2 linked regions of the Tamandua tetradactyla genome follow. The protein of the gene in region 1 binds, or shares a complex with, the protein of each later gene. Links are inferred from orthologs where the notes say so. Each region holds a gene or a part of one and is shown in the gene's direction. Other genes may lie near its edges.

Region 1 (8,465 bases):
CTTCATTCCTTTATGATCCGAGAAAGTGTTGTGTATGATTTCAATCTTTTTAAATTTGTTAAGACTTGCTTTGTGACCCAGCGTATGGTCTATCTTTGAGAATGATCCATGAGCACTTGAGAAAAAGGTGTATCCTGCTGTTGTGGGATGTAATGTCCTATAAATATCTGTTAAGTCTAGCTCATTTATAGTAATATTCAGATTCTCTATTTCTTTATTGATCCTCTGTCTAGATGTTCTGTCCATTGATGAGAGTGGTGAATTGAAGTCTCCAACTATTATGGTATATGTGTCTATTTCCCTTTTCAGTGTTTGCAGTGTATTCCTCACGTATTTTGGGGCATTCTGGTTCGGTGCATAAATATTTATGATTGTTATGTCTTCTTGTTTAATTGTTCCTTTTATTAGTAGATAGTGTCCTTCTTTGTCTCTTTTAACTGTTTTACATTTGAAGTCTAATTTGTTGGATATTAGTATAGCCACTCCTGCTCTTTTCTGGTTGTTATTTGCATGAAATATCTTTTCCCAACCTTTCACTTTCAACCTATGTTTATCTTTAGGTCTAAGATGTGTTTCCTGTAGACAGCATATTGAAGGATCCTGTTTTTTAATCCATTCTGCCAGTCTATGTCTTTTGATTGGGGAATTCAGCCCATTATCATTTAGTGTTATTACTGTTTGGAAAATATTTTCCTCTACCATTTTGCCTTTTGTATTATATATATATCATATCTGACTTTCCTTCTTTCTACAGTCTTCTCCATACCTCTCTCTTCTGTCTTTTCGTATCTGACTCTAGTGCTCCCTTTAGTATTTCTTGCAGAGCTGGTCTCTTGGTCACAAATTCTCTCAGTGACTTTTTGTCTGAGAATGTTTTAATTTCTCCCTCATTTTTGAAGGACAATTTTGCTGGATATAGGAGTCTTGGTTGGCAGTTTTTCTCTTTTAGTAATTTAAATATATCATCCCACTGTCTTCTAGCCTCCATGGTTTCTGCTGAGAAATCTACACATAGTCTTATTGGATTTCCCTTGTATGTGATGGATTGTTTTTCTCTTGCTGCTTTCAAGATCCTCTCTTTCTCTTTGACCTCTGACATTCTAACTAGTAAGTGTCTTGGAGAACGCCTATTTGGGTCTAATCTCTTTGGGGTGCGCTGCACTTCTTGAATCTGTAATTTTAGGTCTTTCCTAAGAGTTGGGAAATTTTCAGTGAAAATTTCTTCCATTAGTTTTTCTCCTCCTTTTCCCTTCTCTTCTCCTTCTGGGACACCCACAACACGTATATTGTGCGCTTCATATTATCATTCAGTTCCCTGATCCCCTGCTCAAATTTTTCCATTCTTTTCCCTATAGTTTCTGTTTCTTTTTGGAATTCAGATGTTCCATCCTCCAGTTCACTAATTGTAGCTTCTGTCTCTTTAAATCTACCATTGTAGGTATCCATTGTTTTTTCCATCTTTTCTACTTTGTCCTTCACTCCCATAAGTTCTGTGATTTGTTTTTTCAGACTTTCTATTTCTTGTTTTTGTTCAGCCCATGTCTTCTTCATGTCCTCCCTCAATTTATTGATTTGGTTTTTGAAGAGGTTTTCCATTTCTGTTCGTATATTCAGCATTAGTTGTCTCAGCTCCTGTATCTCATTTGAACTATTGGTTTGTTCCTTTGACTGGGCCATATCTTCAGTTTTCCTAGCGTGATCCATTATTTTCTGCTGGTGTCTGGGCATTTGATCAGATTTCCCTGGGTGTGGGACCCAGCAGGTTGAAAGGTTTTTCTGTGAAATCTCTGGGCTCTGTTTTTCTTATCCTGCCCAGTATGGTATGCTCGTGGTGCTCGTCCGTCTGTGGGTCCCACCAGTAAAAGATGCTGTGGTTCCTTTAACTTTGGAAAACTCTCGCTGTGGGGGAGGGTCACCAGCCGAAGCGGCTGGGGGAGTGCCGGTCCAAATCTCCCAGCTGGCCCGGGAATCCGTGCGTGGGGGGGGGGGGGGGGGGCGCCAGCCGCCGTGGCTTGGGGGACCTCCAATCCAATTCTCCCAGCCAGCCGGGAGGCCCCGCATTGTGGGGGGGCATCGGCCGCCGCGGCTTGTGGGACTGCCGGTCCAAATCTCCCAGCCAGCCCGGGAATCCGTGTGTTGTGGGGGGCGCTGGCCTCTGCGGCTTGGGGGACCTCCAATCCAATTCTCCCAGCCGGCCCGGGAAGGAGGGAGGGAGGGACTCCGGCCGCCAGCCGCCTCGACCCGGGGAAGCGCACGCCCCTCGAAGATCTCACCGCAGCGGATTCTCCCAGCCTGTTCCGCCGTTCCAGAATGGGGTACGCTGTCTTTTTGGTCTTTGTCGTGGCTCCGGGAGCTGCCCTGTACTGTTTCTATTTCTTTAGTAGCTGTTCTGGAGGAGGAACTAAGACCTGCACGTCTTACTAAGCCGCCATCTTCTCGGAACCAGCCTCACAGTTGATTTTTGAACATTTTTGTTACTGAGAAAAAATAAACTCCTATTATGTTTATGCCATTAGTTGACATTATTATTTGAGTCTTCATTTATCTACAGTTGAACTCAAGGCTCAAAGCAGTCATCGACTTTCCATTCCCCAGAGTACAGCTAAAGGCCCACCCTCTGTGGAGAGATAATTGCTTGGCAGGAGACAGGTCGGTGAGTGTTCTCGATGCAAATGTTTTAAGAAATGATCATGATGATGAATATGCAACTGTGTGATGATACTGTGAATTACTGATTATATATGTAGACCGGAATGTTAAAAAATTAAGAATGTTTTGCGTTTGTTATTTTTTTTTATAAATTAAAAAAAAGGTTCTCTAATTGCCTATCTGCCCTTGATGACGTTGCCTAAATCTTAAAATGTATTTACTTTTGTGTTAAATGGGGATTATAATATCAATATCATAGGCTTTTGAGAAATATATTACAAAATTTGTGCAAAGCACCTGACACAATGTAGGTATAGATAAAATGTAGTTGTTATTATAGACAGTTTGTATGTGGTAGGGATTAAGAGCCTGGATTCTGGGACAGATTGCCTGGGTTCAAATCCTGGCTCTGCCAATTTGTACCCGTACGATTTTAGGCCAATTACTTAACTTCTCTGTGCCTTAGTTTCCTTATCTGTAGAATGGGGGCAGTAACCACCCCTAACTCATAGGGTTGTTGTGAGGAGTAAGTGAAATAACTCAGGTAAAGGCAGCACATAATAGATGTTCAGTATTATTAGTATTAATTCTTTCTTCCTATCCTATTTAGTAATTGTTCTGCCATCCTCTTCGCCATATTATGCTTTTCCCCTAATATTATTTTTCACTCTCTGTATTAGTCAGGGTTCTCTAGGGAAAACAGAATCAACAGGTGATACCTGTAAATATGAGATTTTGTAAAAGGGCAACTATGGAGATACACAAGTCCAAATACCTTAGGGCAGATTGGAGACAACTCCAATGAAGGTTTTTGATGAATCCTCCAGCCAGTCTCTCCTGACTGAAGTAGACAAGAAAATTGTCTCTTCTGATTGTTGAAGTCATCACTTCTCCTTTTAATGCCTTCAACTAATTGGATTAAATACCCATCATTGCTGAAGATACTCTCCTTAGCTTATCCTAGAAGTAATCAGTCATAGTTGCAATCAACTTACTTATGATTCAAGTGCACAAAATGTCCTTGCAGTAACAGTTAGGCCAGAGCCTACTAGACTAGGCAATTGGGCATCATTACCTGGCCAAATTGACACATAAACCCAACGATCAAACTCTCTAAGATAATAACATTATGTAATTAGTACCCTCTTTCTTTTACCATACTCTACTTTTATTCTCTAACATTACTTGAGTTCTATGTTGCTAAGCTATTTTAATTTAATGTTTTTATTGCTTATTGTGTGTTACCCTCCAGCAGAAGGTTTGCTTCAGGAGGGCCATCCTTTTTATTTAGAGTAATCCCCAGCACCTAGAACAGCACCTGGCACATAGTAACTGCTCAATAAATATTACCTATTATTATTATAAGGTCTACCCAGGTTTAAACAGAATTCTTCTTCTGCCCCTTTCAAACTCCTCTTAACCACTTTCTTTTTTCTGTTTTGTCATGCCACTAATTAATTACCTTTAACACACTATGTAATTTACTTATTTCACATTTTTATTATTTTCTGCTAGTCTCCTGCGAACACTCACACTGGATTGTAAATCCCATGAAAGTAAGGACTTTTGTAGGCGTTCTTCACTTATGTATTCCCAACACTTATAACAATATCTGGTATGCAGTAGTTACACAATAAAATGTTTTTGAATGAATTATATATGGCATCGTGACAAAAGCACGGAGTCAGACGGTCTCCTGTGACTGCCACTAAATTACCATCTGTCTTAATCGAGTCCTTCCCCGCTGTGGGGAACCTGTCCCCTCTCAGCTCTGGCAACTTCCTTGCTTCCCCCAGTTGCTCAGATCAAGCTGGCCGGTCTGCGTCCTGCCCAGGTGGCCGCCAGAGGGCAGTCACGCCAAACTGCCGGCCCCGCCCACTTCCCGGTCAGCTGTACTGACAGCCGGGAACCGCCCACCCCCGGGTAGAGAAGCTGAGCCTGGCCGCATCTGATTCAATTTCGCTCTCATCTGCCTGCCGGCGCCTGGCACCCTCACCATGGCCTGCTACATCTACCAGCTGCCCTCCTGGGTGCTGGACGACTTGTGCCGCAACATGGACACCCTCAACGAATGGGACTGGATGCAGTTCGGTGAGTGGGGTCCGGGTAGGGGCGGGGCGGCCGGTCCACCCAGCGATCCCGCCCCGATCCGGCCGCTAAACCCACTCCGGGATTCTGTTTAAGAGGGTCCTGATCCGAGGGCCTCTGTGTGCGGAGATTTCTGCATCGGGCCCTCGCTGTGTGACCTCAGACAAGCCCCTTCTCTGAACCGGTTAGATCATCTGGAAGGTGTTAAAGTGATCTTTGCCGTCCGAACTGGCACAAATATTTCTCTTGGGAGCCACTCCCACCTGTCACCAAGTAATGACCGCCTCTCTTTTGCTTTACTCTTTAAGGTAAAACGTGTTACTATTAGAATAGCTATCAACAATTATGCCGTTGATAATAACGATTGTTGCATGCCAGCCCCTGTTCTTAGCTTTTTGCCTGTATCAGCTCACTAAATCCTCGCCGCAGCCTACAAGTGCATACTCCTCTGACGTCACATTACAGACTAGGAAACTGGCAAGGAGAGCGGTAATTTCCCCAGTGGCATGGCTGCTAAATGGGAGGGTAGGATTTGAACGCGGGAAATCTGGCTCCACCATTAAGTGTTACATTGCAACTACTTGATTTTTTTTCCCCGGCTGCTGATTGGTGGAAAGAGGGTTAATGATGGGTGGTCATGGTATCTAGGGGGCAACTGCGTGTGTGGTCCTCAGGTTCCTAAGTAAGGAGGGTCTGTATTCCAGGACCCACCACTTTCCAGCTGGTGACTTTGGGCAAATTACTTCATCTGTAAACTGGAAATGATAATTATATTTTCTTATAAAGTTGTGAGGTCTGAAAATATTGTATAAAAAGCACCTGACACATAAGTATTAGAAACTCTTATAAATAATTAGAAAATGTTATTTATGGTCATTTGTAGTTTTATGTTTTAAGTCAGTCTAACTGGTTAGTGCCATTTGAATTAATATATATTTTTAATTTAAAACTTTAAATTATGAAATATACCTTTACACAGAGTGTATAATAAATGTATACATTTGAAAGAGTAATAAAATGAATATATGTGTGCTCATCGAATTTGAGCAAATAATATATATTTTAACCTCATGTTCTCAACAGGGGATGATTTTCCCTCCTGGGGGACATTTGTCAAAGTCTGGAGATATTTTCGGTTGTCACAACTTGGGGAATGCAACGGGCAGAGGCCAGGGATGCTGCTAAACATCCTGAAATACACAGGACAGTCCTCACAACATAATTATTGGGCCAAAAATTTCAACAGGGCCAAGCTTGAGAAGCCCTGTGTTAACCCAATAACAAAAATAATACATTCTTATTGCAAAATACTGTGGGAGGGGGGAAAAGATGAGCTCAAATTTTACCATTAGAAATAAACTTTCTTAATATTTGGGTGCCAATAATAATAACAATGACAACAGCAGTTAATATTTATTGGCTTCTTACTATGTGCAGAGTTGAGTGCTAGATGTTTTATGCCTTCTGGTCTTTTTCCTTAATATATTAATTTCTGTCTATATTTTCAAACTTATGTCTATTTGTACATTCTATCTAATAGCCTGCATTTTTTCACTTAAAATGCATCATGGGGCCACCGTGGCTCAGCAGGCAAGAATGCTTGCCTGCCATGCGAGAGGACCCAGGTTGGATTCCTGGTGCCTGCCCATGTAAAAAAAACAAAAACAAAAAACAAACAAACAAAATGTATCATGATTTCCCATTGCCCAGAAATATATTCTTTTCAGTGTGTATCTTTTATTAACTATTTTAGACTGAAAGCGAAATATATATACTAGGTTAAATAATATAAATAATACAGCTAGGATAGAGAGGAAATCAAGTTTCTTTTCCCTCCTTGGTCTTTTTAAAATACACTTTTATTAGAGAAAGTGTGGGTTTACAGAAAATTATGCATAAAATACAGGGTTTCCATATACCATCTTTTATTAACCCCTTGCATTGGTGTGGTGCATTTGTTACAATAAGTGAAAGCACATTTTCATAACTGTATGATTAACTGTGGTCCATGGTTTAACTTAGGGTTTATTGTTTGTATAGTACAGTTTCATAGATTAAAAATATTTTTCCTCCTATTACCATATATACAATATAACATTTTCCTTTTAACCACAATCAAATATATATATCTCAGTCCTGTTAATTATGTTCACAATGTCGGGCTACCTTCACCACCGTCCATTACTAAAACATTTCCTAGTTCTGAATAGTACTGTACATTTTTTTATAATTTAAAAATATATTTTATTAAAGTCTAGCACCTAAATAAAATGCAGATCTTGTGTTTCAACTAAGGGACTGTATTTTGTTTCTCTTTTCTAATCCAAAGAGGTGCTTTCATAATGACTAAACTTTGGGTATATACATAGAAAATAAATTACTCAAAGATCATTATTTATGAACTCAAGAATACTCAGGGTCAATGTCATAGATACTTTCATGCTTTTTCAGATGAAAAATATACTCCAATCAAGAGCATCATATCAATTTCAACCATAAACTAAGAGGTTGCACTTTTTAGCAGCAAAAAAGGAGATAGTCATTAATTTAAGGTTTCCTTTAGTTTTAACAATTCTTTTTTTCTCATCTCCAACAGATTTATGAATCATCATTTTATAGCCTTTTCTCATATTTTACATTATTGCTTACATTATATAGATAACTACATAACTGCCTTTAATAAACTTGGAAATATCTAAAAATATTTTGGAACAAGGACAATGCATCACTGTCATATGGGATTTTGTAAACAATCTTAGTTGGGTTAAGAACATAGCTTTAACAGAGAATTCTTTATTTTGTTCAAAACAGCACAATGTACATTTTTTAAGAAAATAAAAATAAAAGCAAAAAGAACACCCAAAACATCCCCTCTTCCTACCCCCTATTGTTTATTTATTATTTTGTCTTTTTATTTTTATTCATCTGTCCTTCTACTGGATGAAGGGAGCGTCAGTCATAAGGTTTTCACAGACACAGGGTCACACCTTAAAAGCTCTACCTCCTTGGTCTTTAACCACCCAGTTTCCCCACTTGGAGGTTGTGACTGGTAACAAATCTCCTTCCTTCAGCCAGGGTGAGTATGAGAATAGATTACCCCTTTCTTTCCAAGACTGCTCTGTACTCCATTGTTTGGATGACCTGTGACTCAACCACTTTGAAAGTATCCTGGTCAGTGGACAGCAAGGTTTGTGGGTGGGGCTCTCTATAGCTTTTCCGCTGTTAGTCCAGCCTTCAATTGTTAACTCCAGAACAACTTCTATACCTAGGAAAATAATTTATAAGGTTGGCCTATGAATTTTTTAAAAAACAGCTTTATTGAGATATAATCCACATACCACACCATCCACCCATTTAAAGTCATTGGCTTTTGGTATAGTCACAGAGTTGTGCATCTATCACAATTGATTTCAGAACATTTTCACTACCCCAAGAGGAAACCCCACATCCCTTAGCCATCACGCTTAATCCCCACACTTCCCCCAGCCCTTGCAACCTTAATGTACTTTCTGTCTGTATGGTTTATACTGTTCTGGCAATTTCATATAAATGGAGTCATACAATACGTGGCCTTTTGTGACTGGCTTCTTTCAACTTGGCCTAATGTTTCCAAAGTTGATCTGTGTTGTAGCATCTATCACTCCTTCTTTTTATTGATCAATTGTATGGATATACCACGTTTTATTTATTCATTCTTTGGGTGAAGGACATTTGGGTTGATTCTGTTT
Region 2 (9,148 bases), on another chromosome or scaffold:
GATGATTTATTGAATTACCTGTATATGTAACTTTTCTTTCCTCGCATTCAAGAAGAGATCTTTTCCTTTGCCTGTGTACTTTTTCCCGAAATCTTACTGTTATCACTACATTTGAATTATCAGCATTGTAATTCAGTTCAGAAAAGGATTTAGTTTCCACAAGGTTTCCAAACCTTTTGTTAACGAAATGGTGGACAGCTTTTCTGTGGTCTTTATTCATATCAGGTTTAAAGGTAAATTTGGAATTCTCTTTCTTTGCATCTAAATATTTAAAAAAGTCACATGCTTCTTCTTCAGATACCAGATGACAGAGTTCTTTATATTCAAGATTCGGTTTTATAACAATTTCACTATTTCTTCCTACAGTTATTAAGAAAGGAAACTTCTGCCTAACAGCACTATGTAAAACGGCCCTTTGGTTCTTCTCAAGGATTTTGCCTAGTGAGAATTCAGGAGATGATGATTTAATTAGCTCATTTTCAGAATTCCATTTTTCTTTTATTTTACAAGCAAACTGATTCAATAATTCATTAGTTTCTTCATCTAACAAGGAACCTAATATATCAGCTTTTTCTTTTTCACATTTGGAAGGCCCTTCGACAGTCTCTTCATTTTCTGTACCAGACTGATGATTTTGGTCACTACTGGAGCATCTAGCCAAAGTATTAAGTTCTTGGTTACTTTCATCTTCACAAGAACAATTTTGAAGATCTAGTTTTATGTTTTTGCCAAGATTACTTGGCTCAGGTAGAATTTTACTAATCTTGCAAATAGGTTCATCAATGGCCTTATCAACTAATTGTCCCTGCTCATTAATCTCAATAACCACAAAGTCACTTGGTGAGCCTTTTATAGTACCACAAAATCCAACATGATCATTAATGTAACACAAAGAACTAAATCTGCTTCTATAATCTGCATCCTCTTCCATTCGTAAATGTCTGCAAAAGAAACAGAGAGGCAGGCAGTTACCAGAGAGAAAAGTTGTGAATAACAAAAAAGGAATAAGATTGCAGGATTTATTTAATCTTCTTAATTCAATCTTTTTTTTTTTTTTTTTTTGCTCTTTATTTTCTGGCATTCCAAACAAAACATAATCACTGTATAGTCTGTGTTTTACAGTAAATTACATGAACTAATTTAAAATTAAGGTGAACAAGGAAAAAATCTATAGATACAGATATCAGCATTTCTTAGATTCTAATATTAAACACTAACTTAAATACCATTTGACTAGCTATCAAAACTATATACATTCTCAAAATATATGTACAAAGTTATTAGAAACTACTTTGCAATAGTAATGACCTGCTACTGAACATTTTCAAATGTTTTATTTCAAGGAAATATAAAGATACAAATGTTTTTACAAATAACATATGAATATCTTATCTCTTTTCTTATAACATTTAAAAATCTTTATTTAATTTTGAGTCCCCTTAATTTACATAACTAATTTATGATGTGCACTTTGACTCTCCTATACCAAGATGAATAAATAGGAAAATTATTTTTCTGGTATAGTTGGTGATTTGTAGCTTGTTTTTAAATCCACTGCATATTTCCACCCATCATCCAGGCTTAAAATGGGTCAATTTCAGGTTTACCTTAATAATACTATTTATAGGTCCCCAAAGAAGAAACTAGATGATAAGAGTGTTTACAATGATTTCTCTAAACTCTATCCCTAGAACCTAAAATTTCTAATTCCAGAGAATTTGAGGCTATATTTTTCTAAACTGGGGATGGGGATTTGGAGAAGAGACAAGGAAAGGACAGGAAGAAAAAGCTTAAATTGATAAGCAAATGCAGTTCTAAATATCAACTCACAATTTCATTATGCTTTCAGGTAGGCTTAATTCAGTCCTGGACCATAAGCCTTCTCTAAAGCCCTCACTGGGACAGGCACAAACTTTTGAGGACGACCCAGAGGATATTTCCAACTACAATATCATTACCATTAGAGAGCTTTCTTGGAGCAGTAGACAAAACAATGGCCTCTGAGGCAGCCATCACTCACTCTTTACACAACTCACAGCTATCTTATGACATGTAGTCGTGGAAAAATCAGTTGCTCGGAAACAGCCAAAATGTCCATCAACAGAAGAATGGCTAAACAAACTGTGGTATATACATACGATGGAATATTATGCAGCTTTAAGACAAGATAAACTTATGAAGCATGTAATAACATGGATGGACCTAGAGAACATTATGCTGAGTGAGTCCAGCCAAAAACTAAAGGACAAATACTGTATGGTCCCACTGATGTGAACCGACATTCGAGAATAAACCTGGAATATGTCATTGGTAACAGAGTCTAGCAGGAGTTAGAAACAGGGTAAGATAATGGGTAATTGGAGCTGAAGGGATACAGACTGTGCAACAGGACTAGATACAAAAACTCAAAAATGGGCAGCACAATAATACCTAAGTGTAAAGTAATCATGTTAAAACACTGAATGAAGCTGCATCTGAGCTATAGGTTTTTTTTTTTTTTTTACTATTATTATTACTTTTATTTCTTTTCTCTATATTAACATTCTATATCTTTTTCTGTTGTGTTGCTAGTTCCTCTAAACTGATGCAAATGTACTAAGAAACGATGATCATGCATCTATGTGATGATGTTAAGAATTACTGATTGCATATGTAGAATGGTATGATTTCTAAATGTTGGGTTAATTTCTTTTTTTTTTCCGTTAATTAATAAAAAAAAAAAATCAAAAAAAAAATCAGTTGCTCAAGGGTCCACATCATTTAGTTACCAGCAGAACCCCATACTTTCCAGGCAATTTGTTATTATCTGGATTTTCATCCGTATTTCTACACATATTCCACTCATCTGAATCAAATAAGCAACACCCCTCCCTTCTGCCCCCTTCTCAATCTCTTCTACTGTGTTGTGTAGAAATCACAACAAATTCTTTACACACTATTTCCTAGGGAACATATAAAGGTATATTTAATTTCCTGCACATTCCCTTCAATTTCTTGCCCTAAGTGAAACCTGGCTATTTCTTCAGACTAGTTCTGTATCCTCCCAAATGAAGGCTATTTTCCCTTTCACACACTACTACCTTAGGACCTGGAGATTGTAAATATTTTCTGTTTCCCATCACTCCTTCCAAACCACTTTTCTCCTCCTCTACCTTTAAAAATCCCAGTTCCTTTAAAGTTCATGCCACTGGGTTTTACCAAATGCTGTCACCTTCACTCTGATAGTTTGAGGACTCTTCTTCATTCACTGATGACTTAACACCCGACTCATACCTTCCCATCCAACATGACTTCGACGCTCATCTACCTGGATCTTCCATTTAACACCAGGATCCCTCAGTCCTAGATCTTCCACTGCCACTTCATCTCAGTTGTACATCCCCTCAGTAACACCCCCCACTTTCTCATCACCAATCATCCCCCAAAACATCAACTTTAAGAATCTAGCTCTTTGATCAACCCACTGTCTTTTCATCACCCCTACTTTAGTACTTCCATACCTGAAATTCTTAGACTTCAGAAGGCCTCTAATCTCTGCTTCCATGGGTCAATATAGTTCACTCTCCATAGAGCCCCCAGAACTCTTTTAAAAGATAAATTAAATCATCTCACAACCTATTTACAACCCTCTAACTATAAATCCAAATTTCTTACATTGGTTTCCAAAGACTTCTGATTCTAGATTCTGTTGATTCTCCAAAATCATTTTGTACCCTTTCTCCATTACCCATTACACTCCAGCTACAACGGCCTTGTACTAACTGTTCCTGCTGCTTAAATTATTCCTTCCCTGGCCATATAGCTACATCTTTTGAAATTATATCCTCAAAGAGGTCTTCCCTAATCAGTATCTAAAGGAATCTTTAGATTCTTTTTCACAGAACCCTATTTTATTTTCTGCATAATATTTCAAATGTTTTCTTCAATATTTATTGTCTATCTCCCTCCAACTACTGTTAGCTCCATAAGCAGGATTCTTGTCTCATTTATCACTGATTATCCCAAAGTTAAAACATTGCCAAGCACATAATAGGCATGCAATCCATTGACTGCTGAAATGAACAAAATGACAAATATAAAATAAGAGCTTTAAGAATGAAGAGGAAGAAAGAAATAATCACTTTTGCCTGTGATAATCAGAAAAGGCATAATGCAAAAGGTGACCATCTAAGTGTGGCCTCAAAAGGACTCAAGAGATAAAAATGAGATAGAGAGAATATCATAAGTAATCTACAAACAAAATATGAATGTGTGAGAGAAAAATATAAACAGCCCAGATGCAACAGTAGGGGAAAAAGAGTTTTCTAGTACAGTTTTGGAAACGGAGCCCAGTTATGGAAGACTGAATGCCTTGTCAAGGACTTCAAATCCATTAGATGGTCAATGGATGGCCACAGAAGTTGTCTGAGTAGAAAAGCAACACAATCATTAAGATGCTTTAGTAAGATGATTCTGATAACACTGAGCCAAATGCATCTGATGGGGTAAGAGAAGAGTTGCAAAGCAATATGATCAAGCGCATAGCGGCAGATTGGCCTTGCAAAGAACAATGGTCATCTCTTTTCCCAGAAAAAGGAAGATAATATGAAGGTATTCTAAGCCAACATAATAATAATAGGGAGAGAAGGTAAACAATAAAAGGATTCCAACCAAGCACCTTAGTAAAAGAATGGGAAAATGCAGGGACTTGAGGTGGATAATGATGTGAGACTGGCTGGAGGTGGGAGTCTGGGAAATGTCAAAAGGGTCTAGACCCAAACTGGACAGCAGCCAAGGAGTCCACGTGGAGTTAAGCTCAAATGTGCAGAATTCCTAAGCCACAGTTTAGTTATGAGGGGGCGAGGCGGCGAGTCGGAGTTGGAGAATTGCAGGTTGAGGAATGATTCTGGGAAGGTAGTAGAAATGGAGAGTAGCTTCTCCATCATGCTCTTCTTCCACTAACCGCCAAACTCCCCCGATCTCGCTCCTAACAAAAGCTACCAAGCCACAGAAGTAAAGCCTACCCGGCGCTACCACTTCACTTGCCCCGAAAGTGCCCCCCCCCCCCATACACTGCCAGCAGCTCTACTTGCTTCTCCGCCTATCCATGGCGGAGAAGCAAGCCCACGTCGCCCCCCTTTTTTAGGGCAAAGGGTCGGGGTCCCCAATGCCAACCTTGTCACAGTCCCAAACACAAGCTGCACATTGCCCAATTAGCGCGATCCAGCCTACCTAGCGTCCAGGTGAAGGCGCGCCTCGGCACAACGCTGTGCGCATGCCCGGAAGCTTCAACTATTCAGCCTCCGACAGCGGCATATTTAAAGGGGCAGCTCACGGAAAGAAGCGCCTTACCCTAGACTGCAGTGTCTCACTGAGTACCAAGTCTCGGGACCCAGAGAGGAGGAAACGCGGCAGGCGGAGCGGGGGCGGGACCTGGAGACTTGCGCCCGCCCATCCGCTTCTCCGAGCGAGCGTAAGTTTTTAGGCCTTTTACTCCGCGGGGCGTCGCCCCACCCGCGTCCCGTACAGCGGGCAGGTAAGGGATTCCCGCCGTCCGCACCTGCTTCCCGGAGACTGTCCGAGGCCCGGGCCCGCCTCACCCTCTGCCCCCGAGTTATCGGGTGACCGTTTGTAGCGCAAATCGCTTCAAGTCTTATCTCCAAAGTGAGAGGCGCTAGAGAGGAAGTAGGTTGCGTGGGAAGACCCTGCTCCGGGATCGTGACCTGGGTAGTGGGCCCTCCGGGATCAGAAAGGTACTCCGATGGAAGGAGGAACTTAAGGCGCGGAGAGGCGTCACCCAGCACTTCTGTGGCTCGGTCAGACCTCGCCTCATTTCTCAACTTCCAGGCTGTTTGTTCTCTGAGCTCTTCTGCGAAATGAAATCTCATTTCCCGATAGCCAGGAAGTAAGCCCAGCACGCAGCAGAGATGCTGGCAGCGTGGGAAGCATTCTGAGCATACCCTCGATTCTAATAAGCTTGTTTTCTCTGATTTCCAAGCTCTCAAGAAATTAGAAAGTGGACAGTGGATGTAAAGTTTAGATAACTACATTAGCAGATGGGAAAAGTGTACTTAAGCCTGGCAACCAGAGAGTGAATCAAGAGATTAAAAAAAAAAAAAAAAAAAAAAAAAAAGCAACTTGGGGAAGCCGAGAAAGAACATCCGTCATTTAGAATGGGAACCAGTAACACTTATTAATGCCTCAAAAACAAATCTTCCCAAGGAGACTTCAGAGCACAGGATATTAAAATCTGCCTTTCCCCTTGCTGGGGATAGTCCTTGGAGACGACTGTCAGAAGATACCTTTTATGTTTCTGTTCTGTTCTTCTGTTTCATGCTAAATATTTATTTGAATTTAGCTTTCTGCTTTTCGCAGTGAAGCTGATCTTCCAGACCAAATTTGTGCCTTCCAAAGTTTTGTCCATTTCAGTAAATATCAGTGAAGAGTCGTTCGGGCCAAAACCTCCTCACCATCTTCCCACTCCACATCAGCACGCAGGTTCTGTTGGCTCTGTCTGGGAATATATCGAGCATCCAAGGATTTTGCACTTTCTCTGCCTCCACCCTGGTCCTAGCCGCCACTTGTTAGTGTAAGTTGTTAGTGTAGTCTCATAATTGGCCTCTCCCTGCGTCTCTACTCCAGTAGAGTTTATTTTCAGCAGCACCCCCAGTGCCCTTTTAAGGCATGAATATACAACATATCTCTCCCTTCTCAAAACCACCGGTATCTTCACATCTCACTGAGAGAATAAACAGTCAATACAAAGGAATTGAAGCCAGTGGCCTGGTTTCCAAATCTAGCAGACACCATGAGTGTTTTCTTGACCTCTTGAGTCATTTGTACCAACCTGTCCCCCATTCTAAAAATTCTCTGGTATGCTACTGTCTTGATTTTCAGCTTCCCTCCATGACTCTGCCTCATGAATATTTAAAAATTTTCTTTCTCTTCATTCATTCCCATTTTATATATTCCTAATATATAAGGCAACCTTATCTTACTTATTGCTTCAACCAACTCCTTTATTTATTGTGCATTCTTTACCTAAACTTCCCTCTTAACCCACAGACTATAATATCTAGTTACTTGCTGCCACCCCCCAGATAGTTCCAGAGATAGATATTCCACATTTAATATCAAAACTGAATGGTTTATTTCCTCGTACTATCTACCTAATTGCCCAAGCCAAAAAACCTACGAATCATCTTCCTTGTTCTCCTCACTCTCCATCCCTTCAATATCTGATCACACATGAAATCCTTTTGATTTAGCCTCCTAAATCTCCTGAACCTTCCCCTACCTAATACTTTTTTCAGGCTCTTATTTCTGCTCACCCAAATTATTGTATAATCATTCCGACTGGACTCTGTTTCTCAATATGCATCCCTTTAATTTTTTATACAGAGGATATTTTATCTTTACAAGTAAATCTCTTTTATGAACAAATTGATTCCTGAATATGCTCACAGAAATTTTACTGAAAACAGTAAACTTTTTGTTACTTTGTATAAATTGCATTTGGAAAATAGTATCCTAATATACATCAATAAGAATAAAAAAATGAACTTTTAAAATTCTTATTGATGTGTGTAGGTGGGAAAAGAATGCAAACCCAGAGGACAATTAATCAGAGAACTTACAATTTTAATTTCCTCTTAGAACATTAACTAGTTGACTTTAGAGTATTTCTTTACAATGGTGTATTAAGTTGCCAACCTTTCCTATGATATAACAAAGGGTGATATATAAGTTTACAGATGTCCTTCCCAAAGCTACTGTAAAATTTTAATAAGAATTTTTTATATTTTAGGAATAGAAGATGAACAAATCCATAACCTCATCAACATACGTGCGCTGCCTCAATGTTGGACTAATTAGGAAGCTGTCAGATTTTATTGATCCTCAAGAAGGATGGAAGAAGTTAGCTGTGGCTATTAAAAAACCATCTGGTGATGATAGATACAATCAGTTTCACATAAGGTTATATACAATATTCCTTTTTTAAAAATTCTTATATCACAATATAAAATGATTAATAGGAATAAATAAGTACTGCCCAATATCGCAGCTTAGGGACTGGGTCTTTCTCATGGAGATAACAGTTATAAGTAACCCATTTTTTGTTTGTTTTCTTGTAATTTTTGCTTCATTTGCCTTATTGGCTGGGCTGATATTATGGTCTTGAAAATTTAGTTTTGGGATTAGAACCAATTACAATTCTCTGGCAAGCTACGTGCGGTTTACTCTGCCTCCCCAGCTTATTTCCATATTGAAGTAATATAAGAATTTTTAAGAATCTCTAGTAAAATTCTGAAACTTAAGCTTCTAAGTGCGTGACTCTAATGCATTTTATCAATGTATTTTGGAAATTCTTCAAATTGATATTTTAAAGTTGTTACTTATGAGTGTACACATCTATGATCAGAATTCTTAGTGCTTAGTTAGGTCAGGAGTTTTCGACACTATTTTCAGATAATTTCCAATATTCCTCTCTACTCAGTTCTGCTTTCTTTAATGTAAAACATAAATGCAGATTTTATTCTTTGTCAATCATTGCTGCTGAGATCTGTCAAAATATGTAGCATGAGGGAAAAAAATTTATCTGTAATTTTCAGCATTAACCTGCTAAAAAACCTTTTTAAGTTTTGGTTCCCTCATTAATCCTTCCAAGAAATGTTTCCTAGTTTGAAGGGTAAACTTCTTCAATTTCTTGAAAGAAGCTTACGTTTAAACCTTGAAAGCCAATTTTTAAAGATAGTTTATTGAGATTATTATTGATCTTAATACGTGGAAGATAGTTGAGACCGTGGGGAAAAGGAAAACTCTTCCTTACGGAAGAATGCCAGCCAGTAATTGTTGAAAGGATGATAGAGTTAGAAAGGTACTAATTTCCAATCACCAATGAATTATTGACACACATGGCTCAGTAATGAATGCTAAAACTGCCTTTGAAACACATTATCACCTACATAGTATTCTTACCAAAAAGTTGTAACCCGAATTTAATCTTCGGAAAATAGACAAATATAGACTGTGAGCCATTCTACAGAGCATCTGCCCTAGACTCTAAATACACAGTATACACACACACACACACACATATACACGCACACAGGGCATGAGTGCAAATGTGGCAAATTGTTATCAATTCGTCAATTCAGTTGGTGAATCT

Evidence for each region.
Region 2: the proteins of IRAK2 (region 1) and IRAK4 are in contact, whole or in part, in a crystal structure (PDB 3MOP), measured with the Homo sapiens proteins. The link is inferred for Tamandua tetradactyla from reciprocal best matches to the Homo sapiens genes IRAK2 and IRAK4. Residues at the interface, in NP_001561.3 of Homo sapiens: Tyr6, Ile36, Lys44, Met48, Glu59, Trp62, Trp63, Trp64, Gly65, Met66, Arg67, Gln68, Ala69, Gln73; in NP_001107654.1 of Homo sapiens: Asp24, Phe25, Pro28, Gln29, Lys34, Glu92, Phe93, Phe94, Ala95, Pro96, Ser98, Val105.

The regions. Positions count from the first base shown.
Region 1 is NC_135335.1:38,986,424-38,994,888, reverse strand, and holds the start of IRAK2 (interleukin-1 receptor-associated kinase-like 2), read left to right. Parts: upstream 1-4,544; 5' UTR 4,545-4,646; coding exon 4,647-4,740; intron 4,741-8,465. UniProt on the Homo sapiens protein: Binds to the IL-1 type I receptor following IL-1 engagement, triggering intracellular signaling cascades leading to transcriptional up-regulation and mRNA stabilization.
Region 2 is NC_135333.1:103,423,116-103,432,263, forward strand, and holds the start of IRAK4 (interleukin-1 receptor-associated kinase 4), read left to right. Parts: upstream 1-5,292; 5' UTR 5,293-5,452; exon of another isoform or gene 5,453-5,515; intron 5,516-5,521; exon of another isoform or gene 5,522-6,568; intron 6,569-7,786; 5' UTR 7,787-7,795; coding exon 7,796-7,956; intron 7,957-9,148. Other genes in the region: pseudouridylate synthase PUS7L, read right to left, coding at 19-931.